2 linked regions of the Arabidopsis thaliana genome follow. The protein of the gene in region 1 interacts with the protein of each later gene in a pairwise test. Each region holds a gene or a part of one and is shown on either strand. Other genes may lie near its edges.

Region 1 (3,851 bases):
TACCTATAACTGACAAAATAACATCATTCAAACAGGTGAGAACACATTTTGCAAGGCCCAACTGGAAGGAAGTCTTCAGTAGCATAGCAAGAAAGCATCCAAATTCGACAGTCGGTAATTATTCTATACAATCAGCTGCTTACCATCAAGACATCTTATAAATCTCTCTTCTAGGACTAACGAATTAATACCATTGGAAAAGAAAGAAAACTTGCAATAGGAATTATGACACATGCAAACACATGAACATGTCTGCTAATATTTAGGCCAGGTATTACGAAGCATATGTGAAAACAATTTATATAATTGTGCAGGAGTGTTTTACTGCGGCATACAAACCGTGGCAAAGGAGTTGAAGAAGCAAGCACAAGACATGAGTCAAAAAACAACCACACGGTTCGAGTTCCATAAGGAGCATTTCTAATTCAATGTTACAAGCCAGCTTCTATCACTTTCCCTAAAGTGAGATTCAAATCCAGCCCGCCATTATTTTTTTTCACACTAACTTCACAGTCACTTAGCAAAGTAGATTATATACACTATGTTAAAAAAGGAAACATTGTCTTGCCTGTTTGTATAGACCCCGCCTAAAGGCATGAAAATAACAAATCTAAGTTACTATACGAAATAATATACGTGTCTTTCCCAAGATGATTCAATCTCTCTTTCCATTACCACAAGCTACTAGTCACAAAGGCAGAGAAGCAAACAACAAATTTTCATTGATAAGGTGCCTCAGCACAGTATATTGGTACTAAAACACATTCAAGGATAAGAATAGAGTAATGCCTTTGTGCTAAGTGTACCAAAACTTGCAGTAGAAGACGAGGTTGGAGTTAATCATCCTTTATTCTTCTCAGTAATTTAGAAGCCCAGCGTCGAACCCGTCTCTTAAGTGTATAACCCACAAACACTCCAGCGACAAAGAAAACAGCGCACAACTTTGAACACGTCCAGACCGAAACTCCGCTGCCACCAAACACAGTCCCAAGATAGGTCAGATAATTTTCTTAAATTAGAACTAATAGTACACAAAACACGTAAAGCCATTACATATTAGTCGAATCAATCAGAAACAACCCAAAGCTCCTACTAGATAGTCTATAATCGACCTGCACAGTTTTGTTCCTCGGGTATCTAAGATCTTAGATCATTTGAACAAGCCATTACAAATTTACAAGCTCTGTGTGATGTGGAACTGGGAAATCATCATGGTCTCTAGGTTTTGAGCTATAACACAAAATCTGCCCTCTTTTTCATTTTTGTTCCATCTTTTTAAAATTTCTCTCAAGCAGGCAGACCAATTCATAATCCATCCACAGAAATAGTGATTATTATTATCATCCTTCCCATAATTAGAGAGAATCTGAAAAATTGGAGACATGCCCTCACTCACTCACCCAAAATTCTTAAAAGTTCTTAGCTTTACTGGCAAAATGATCTCTTTTCGAACAAATATTGAATAGAAGCAGCTTACCTGGGAGGTCTGGTTACCAGAGTGCCGGATCCTGCGTCGTATGTAGTAGTCAAGTTGCCGGCGGCGGCTCGTTTGTCTTGCATCAGATTATCCGCAAAATCAGATAGAGAAGACGACGAAGAAGAAGCTGCCGATTTCGCTTCTTTCACCATCTTGCTGTAAAACTTCTCCAAACCCTCCATTTCTGGCCGATCAATTAGGGTTTAGGGTTCAATGATGATTCCAGTCATGAAGGAAGCGATTGCTAAATTGACTTCTCGTTGACCAAAAGGACAAAATTGGAATTTCATAATTACTAGTTGAAAATAATCCTTGACCAAGGTCATACAATAATACAATATTATTATATAAAATATCATGTACTTTACACATACATTTATTTATTCATTAATTATACATCCATCACACAACAATTCGTAACAATTTCATTTTGTAATATATATTCAATTTAGTTTAAGCAGTCATATCTTCTTTTTCTTCTTGACCGAGTCGGTAATCTTGAGAACCATAAGGACTAAAAGCTTCAAGGAGGAAGTTGGATTTACGCCAAGGATTGAGTCCCATGTCGTTGCACATATCATCAGCATGTTGGATGCTGAACGTGGAAATGCAATGACGTTTGTAGAATCTGCTTGAGTTTCTCGTCACTTCCATTTCTTTTAAGAATTGATCCAACATCTTCTCTTTGCTTGGTAATCTGAATTTCTCATCCACTAGCCGGCTTAGCCACATTGAACGTAGCTCTGATGTGTGTAAGTTCGAGCTGCTTTGGACGTATCCTACGAAACCCATGTTTGGTATCAATGGATGGATTGTTCCCCTGTAAATGATTTAGTTTGTATAAGCAACGGTCCAAATTTCATGAGTATACTAATAAAAGAATATATAGGCTTCCACTTGTACCACTGAATATGTTTATAGTCATAGAACTATATATTATAGCATGATCGTCTTTTTAAGTGTGCAACTAATGCATTTTCACATAATTTCAATTAATCTAAAGACGATTTTTATGTGTATGTACCTGTATAAAGGCATGACACCGCTTGGAAACTCAAGCCAAGTTCGGAAAGGTTCAGGAACAATAGCTTTGAGCTTCTTCTTGCCATCATAACCAGTAGCAAGTATCACAACATCAGCTTCTAATGTCGTCCCATCTTCAAACACAATCCCTTCTTCATAAAACCACCATTTTGATGATTTCTTAAACCGGATCATCCCTTTATCCGCTTCCTCAAAGAAATTCTCCGGTATGATCGCCATTTGACAAGAAGCATAGTCTTCCTCGAAAGAATGGTTTGGTTTTAGACCATATTTCTCAAGAGGTAGCTTCCATAAAACATATGATTCGATGAACTTGGAAACTACGGCACGCTGTTGTCACATATATGTTAAGAAACTTATAAAATTCTCAAGATTTTTGCATATAGAGAAGTGAAAAAGGTAATAAGATGACTAACCAGAAGAGAGAAGAGGAGGCAAAAGAGAGTTCTAAGGAAGCTTTGGTTAGGCCTATCATGGAGGAACTGAGAAGCTCTCGAAGAGTAGAACAAGAAGAATGGTAAGCCCCACACCCAATAATGTGGGATCCCCCAATGAGTTGTTCTCACCACCATTGTGCAAGCTTTTCCTCCTTCCCCTGCAAAATTTAAATATTATATTTAATTATGGGAATCAGATTAAATAAAGATCGAAATCGGTCATCTTAGGATATATATTTAATATGTTGTTTAATTAACTTGCGAGTAACTGTTTAATTGTTGCCAACTAGAACCATATACGTTCCAAGTCCAACCGAAAAGAAATAATATATACTAGTAAGTAAGACAATTATTGCTATCACTATATAGTATATATATTTTATCTTTATTTTGACTTGATCAGCCAATTATTAAGAGTGAAGCTAATTTATATAAATAGACATAGATATCTATGTACCTTGATTAGCTAAAGCAGACTCTAAAGCCAAATCAATGGCGGATTTCTTGAAGCCGATGACGGCTACTTTTTTGCCACTGAGGAGAGTAGAAGCTTCTTCTTTCTCTAACTTGCAGTAATCCATCGAATGCATTACTTTTCCTTGAAACATCTCCGGCCCTTTCTTTGCCGGAAAAGCTGGTATTCTTGGAACGTCGCCGTATTTCCCGGTACACACAACCACGAACTCAAATGCATGCCACTGCACACAAAAACATTGATATACAATATTTCATAAATGATGCATGCAGTAATATGGCAGTTTGAGATCCGGCTTAGGCTTCAAAGTTACCGAAAAACAATCGAGACAAACATTGAGATACGTAAGTTTAAATATGCGTATGCACCATTTGCTCGTGTAAATGCATGCATATGCAAATATATGAGACTGAATTAG
Region 2 (4,809 bases), on another chromosome or scaffold:
GAAATTGGTTAGAGAATCAAATTGTTATTTGAATCAATTACAAGCATATATCCAAATCTAAGACTAATTTGGTAAGTTAATCAATCAATCAATCAAATTATATATAAACACAATCGTTACCACAGAGAAAACTCAACGATGAATCAATCGTTAACACAGAGAAACTCCTTGCGATTTGATTAATTTTTAGTAAATTAGAGAATTGAAACTCACACGAAGAAGAAGAAGTTGAGAAATCTTGGGGAAGCAAGCACAACGTAAACGGCTCTTCCTCTGCCGTTTTTATTTTCTCTCTTTGTTCAAAAATCAAAACTTCTTTTTTAGTTTTCAAAACTTCAGTTGCAAATCACCGTACGAGTGAGCAGATACGCCGTCATTTTATCGCCGACCCCATCACTCTCTTCCTCTTGAGATTTTTTTTTTTTTCTTTGACATTTTATTTTACACACGTAATCAAATTTGTGCATTTACGCAAATGTGTGCCAACTAATTTGTAGACAAGATCCAATCTATAGCATGGAGATAAGTTATGAGTATTTAATGAGTATTTTTTATGTTATACAATTACATAAATTCTATATTTAGGTTTGTCCAAAAAAGAAAAAAGAAGGCAAGCTTAGAAAAAGTTGAAGCAAATACACAAACTAAAAGAGAGGCTACAGATTCAACAAATATATACATAGACGCTAAGACAAGTTTGATGACAGAGTTTAGAGTTAAATACAACATAGCAAAATTAAATAAGCTAAAATCTGGTCTCGCTCTCTCTCTCTCTCTTGCTAACTTCATCCAATGCTACTACTAGGCATAACCCATCCAGCATCATGACCAACAACCACACTATCTCCATTTCCAAACACTCCTCGTTGTCTCTTCTTCATCAACGCAGCTGATACCGGACTTCCTACAGTGCTGGAAGTCAGAGAGCTCTCTGCTGAACAGTTGTTCTTGTGCTCTATTGCTACTGCAAGCTCGGATAAGGATGGAATCATCATTTTGGTTGTGTCGAAGGTGCTTGTTGTTCCTTGGCACCCATTGGTGATGGAGGCCTTTATGGCTAGCTCTGAAAGCTCTTCTCTAGCTGCCTCTAACCCAGCAAATGCAACAGCTTGCTCCTCTATAGCCTTGCAAGCTTTCTCTAGAATTGATTGCAGGTACTTCCCTTGTGCCTCGATCCTTAACTGGAGTCGCCTTTGCACCTGCGTATACTAATGGATCTTATTAAATGTGGAACCAGGGCTCAAACATTAGTATATGCGGTTTCTATGGTTCTAACTTTCATGAAAAGATTTCCTAAGTAGTAACGTTCTGATAAGCTTTAAGGAAATTCAATGGAGGTTTCTATATAGTCTCTCATTAACCAAAGTCTCTCTGGTATTTGGTGAATTCGAAGAAGAAACTAACCTCTAGTTGCTCGTGTAGTCTTCTTTGGACTTCCATCTGGGCACGCAAAGCTTCAGTGACCTGGTAACTCCTGGCTCAAGACAAAAACAATGAGTGTTATAGACAGTGAATATAACACTTGGAATAAAGAGAACACTTGAAACCATACTCGTTCTGTTCTTGAGCAGCCAATCTTAAGGATGATGTTGAAGATGAACCAGTGTCCTGACTCTCCGCAACACAAGAAACTACAGAGATATAAGTTCACAAAGATATAAATGCACAACTGAATCCATAAAGATATAAATGGATTCTTAGCTAAAGATATAACTGAATACCATCCTTAGAGTTGTCAATTGATTCTTTACAAGATTGCCTCCCCAAGCGGAATTTCTACCGAGCAAAAAACCAGAGAACAACACAGTCAAAAAGCAATGAACTTTGTTTGTTATAAGTAGCCAAAGAAGCATAATTTGATATTGAAGGTAGTAGCATCAAAACCTGAAGATGAGATTTGAGATGGTAAAGAGTGAGACCCTTCACTCCCATTGTTCTCATTATAGTTTTAGGCGTTGCTTCTGACATCAAACCAAACACACAAAAAAACTAATCTTGTAAACAAATCTCAAGGCCAATAAAAAAAACCTAAAGAATGCCACAGTAATTCCTAAATTGTTCTAAGTGACATAAACCCAAGAAATCCATTCTATTTCAGGATGATTGACTTCCAAATCTGAAAGAAATTAGACCTAACTCGTTGTCAAATTCTTCGTACTAACTGAAGAACAACAGATTAAAAAAAAAAACACATTTCATTCTAAGATCCATAAATTTCTAAGAAGGGACACTTACTGTCGGGTCCGCCGAGCTGAGTGACGGCGTCAACGAATCTTTCATGGAGCTCAGAGGTCCAACGAAGGCGAGGCTTGGGGTCAGTGGTTAGGACCAGACAAGCGTCGATGGGAAGATTGGTTCCGTCAGAGTAGTCTCCCAAGCTGCCATCTAGAGGAAGCGAAGACCGAATCGCCGAGTACATTCTTCTTTGATCCCCACAAAGGAACAAACTTTTCTTCGTTTCTTTTATTTTCTCGGCTGTTTTCCCGGGAAAGTGAAAGAAAGTGTGAAGAAAGATATTGTGGATTTCTAAGACAGCGAAGAAACGAGTTGATAGATTGGACAAGACAACACTCGGATAGTATTTTGTGTTTATATTTGTGCATTATTGAATTTATTTAGATATTTTCAAAAAAAAAAAAAGAGAGAGCAGAATTTATGTTTTGGTTATTTGTACTCTTTGCATTGAAATTCCAAATAACATATATGTTTTGAAAAAGTAGTAAGATAAAATTTCTTTTAGTTATTATTTTCGTTTTTCAATAGCAGAATAAAACTTCAAGTTCTCTATCTTAAGATGGTGCTAACTGCTAAAATAAACCAAATGAAAAAAGAAAAAAATAGGGTCCTCAATTTTTTTTTAAATATCAAATCCTTTAAACCTACTAGACATTTTTCCAATTATTTTTCTTTTATATAATTCAAGAGAAAAAAAGTATTCTTTAGCTTTAGTTTTTTAATTTTTATATTACTATTGACAAAATTTGTTTATGTAATAGCAGTTTCCAAATTCAGCCACATAAAACATTAAGAAATCAGAAGCACATCAATCATTCATATGCATAAAGAGAGACTCTGTTTCTTGGCAACATAGAATCTTTATTTTGAGACACTTTCTCTTAATCTACAATTCATCAATTTTAAAGCCATAGATGCACGTATATATGTAATATGTACACATATATAAGCCCCTAAAAAAGGATGGGGTATGAAAGATAGTGATAGTTACTTAGCAATGGTAGTAGAAACAAAGGAGTGGTTCGTTTTGTTAAGTCATCGATGGTCTCCTTTGCTCATGATCAACTCCTGCATCAACTCCAACTTTTCCTCAAGAACAGTCATGTGACTATTCTTTCCTTCAGGATAATACTCTTTGCTCAAGTATATCGTCTAGTATCATATCATTGCTGAGAATTCAGCTTACCCGTAAGGTTTGGTCCATGATCTCCTTCTTTGAGCGAGAACCAGAGCTCGAACTTTGGAACACAGACTTAACCTTCCCAAAAGAGGCGAGTGAGCTACCAGGCTTTGGCTCTTACCAGTAATCTTTACAAGAGCAAGCACCTCCTTCAAAATGATGAAACCTATATGCATCCCTCACTATGATTTCTCGATTTGATACCTTAGATACAAACTTTATCCAAGCATGGCAATCGTTGCAAACACGTAGGTTCTTCATTACATTTATAGGCACTGTTGCAGGCAAGCTAAGGAGTCCAAATGAAATTGCTAATTTCTCGCTGTGGATGAAAATTATTGGATCTTTTTGCTCGTGCTGCAGTTCATTCAATAGGCTGAAACAGTCTTGCACATACCCGATTTCAGATGCTCGTTTGGTAAGATCTTGGAAGTATTCATGTATCTCATCTGCTAACGGGTGATTCTGGTCACCAACATAGAAAGAGTGAATTGAGTTTTTAACTTCAATCCAACTTTGTCCCGGTTCTTTCTTCACACCCTTTTCTTTCATCTTTTGTCTTGTAAGATCCCTAGCATCCCATTTCTTGGACACCGCATACAGATTTGACAGAAGAACATATGTTGCTGAGTCTTCAGGTTCTAACTCTAGGAGATGATGCGCTGCAAATTCTCCTATTTCCATGTTCTTGTGCACTACACAAGCACTCAAAAGTGTTCTCCAGACCAAGGCATCTGGCTTAATAGGCATTTCCTGAATGAACTCTTTCGCACGGCTCAAAAGACCAGCTCGAGTTAGCATATCCACTACACACACATAGTGTTCCGGTTTAGGAGATAATCCATATTCTGAATTCATGGATTCAAAGTATGCAATCCCCTTGTCCACTAGTCCTATGTGGCTACATGCTGATAGAACTCCCACAAGCGTCACATGATTAGGCCTTACATTAGAATGTATCATCTGGTCAAAAGAATCTAGTGCTTCAGAACCAAACCCATGTTTAGAATAAGCATTAATTATCGCATTCCACGAAACTTCATTTTTCGTGGAGACTTCAAGGAACTGCTTCTCTGCATCAGAAATGCTCCCACACTTGGCATACATAGAGATTAAAGCATTGCAAACTTCGGTTTCTGAATCGTATCCGGTTTTGGTGATCACAGCATGAACCTGCTTCCCTTGTTTCATGTTAGCTGTCTCAGAAGCAGCTTTCACAGCAGACCCAAACGTGAAATTATTATTGTCAATTCCTTCTCTGTTCATTCGAACGAAGACACGAAGTGCTTCTTCATTGTTTCCACTCTGCTGAAATCCGGATACCAGAGCATTCCATGCTATATTATCTCCAGCTTCAGTTTGTTCAAACGCTAAATACGATTCCTCTATTTTTC

Evidence for each region.
Region 2: the proteins of AT1G19240 (region 1) and UNE16 interact in a two-hybrid assay, tested with the Arabidopsis thaliana proteins (one large-scale study listed by BioGRID).

Annotation. Positions count from the first base shown.
Region 1 is NC_003070.9:6,648,726-6,652,576, forward strand, and holds AT1G19240 (uncharacterized protein), read right to left. Parts: upstream 1,722-3,851; 5' UTR 1,660-1,721; coding exon 1,478-1,659; intron 970-1,477; coding exon 837-969; 3' UTR 518-836; downstream 1-517. Other genes in the region: AT1G19230 (Riboflavin synthase-like superfamily protein), read left to right, coding at 36-114, 315-424; FMO1 (flavin-dependent monooxygenase 1), read right to left, coding at 1,931-2,297, 2,502-2,851, 2,938-3,116, 3,416-3,656.
Region 2 is NC_003075.7:7,936,079-7,940,887, forward strand, and holds UNE16 (Homeodomain-like superfamily protein), read right to left. Parts: upstream 2,568-4,809; 5' UTR 2,420-2,567; coding exon 2,236-2,419; intron 1,962-2,235; coding exon 1,885-1,961; intron 1,777-1,884; coding exon 1,722-1,776; intron 1,632-1,721; coding exon 1,553-1,631; intron 1,475-1,552; coding exon 1,405-1,474; intron 1,209-1,404; coding exon 786-1,208; 3' UTR 528-785; downstream 1-527. Other genes in the region: AT4G13650 (Pentatricopeptide repeat (PPR) superfamily protein), read right to left, coding at 3,533-4,809. UniProt on the Arabidopsis thaliana protein: Transcriptional activator. Probable component of the central regulatory system controlling transcriptional responses to Pi starvation. Binds in a sequence-specific manner to phosphate starvation-regulated promoters.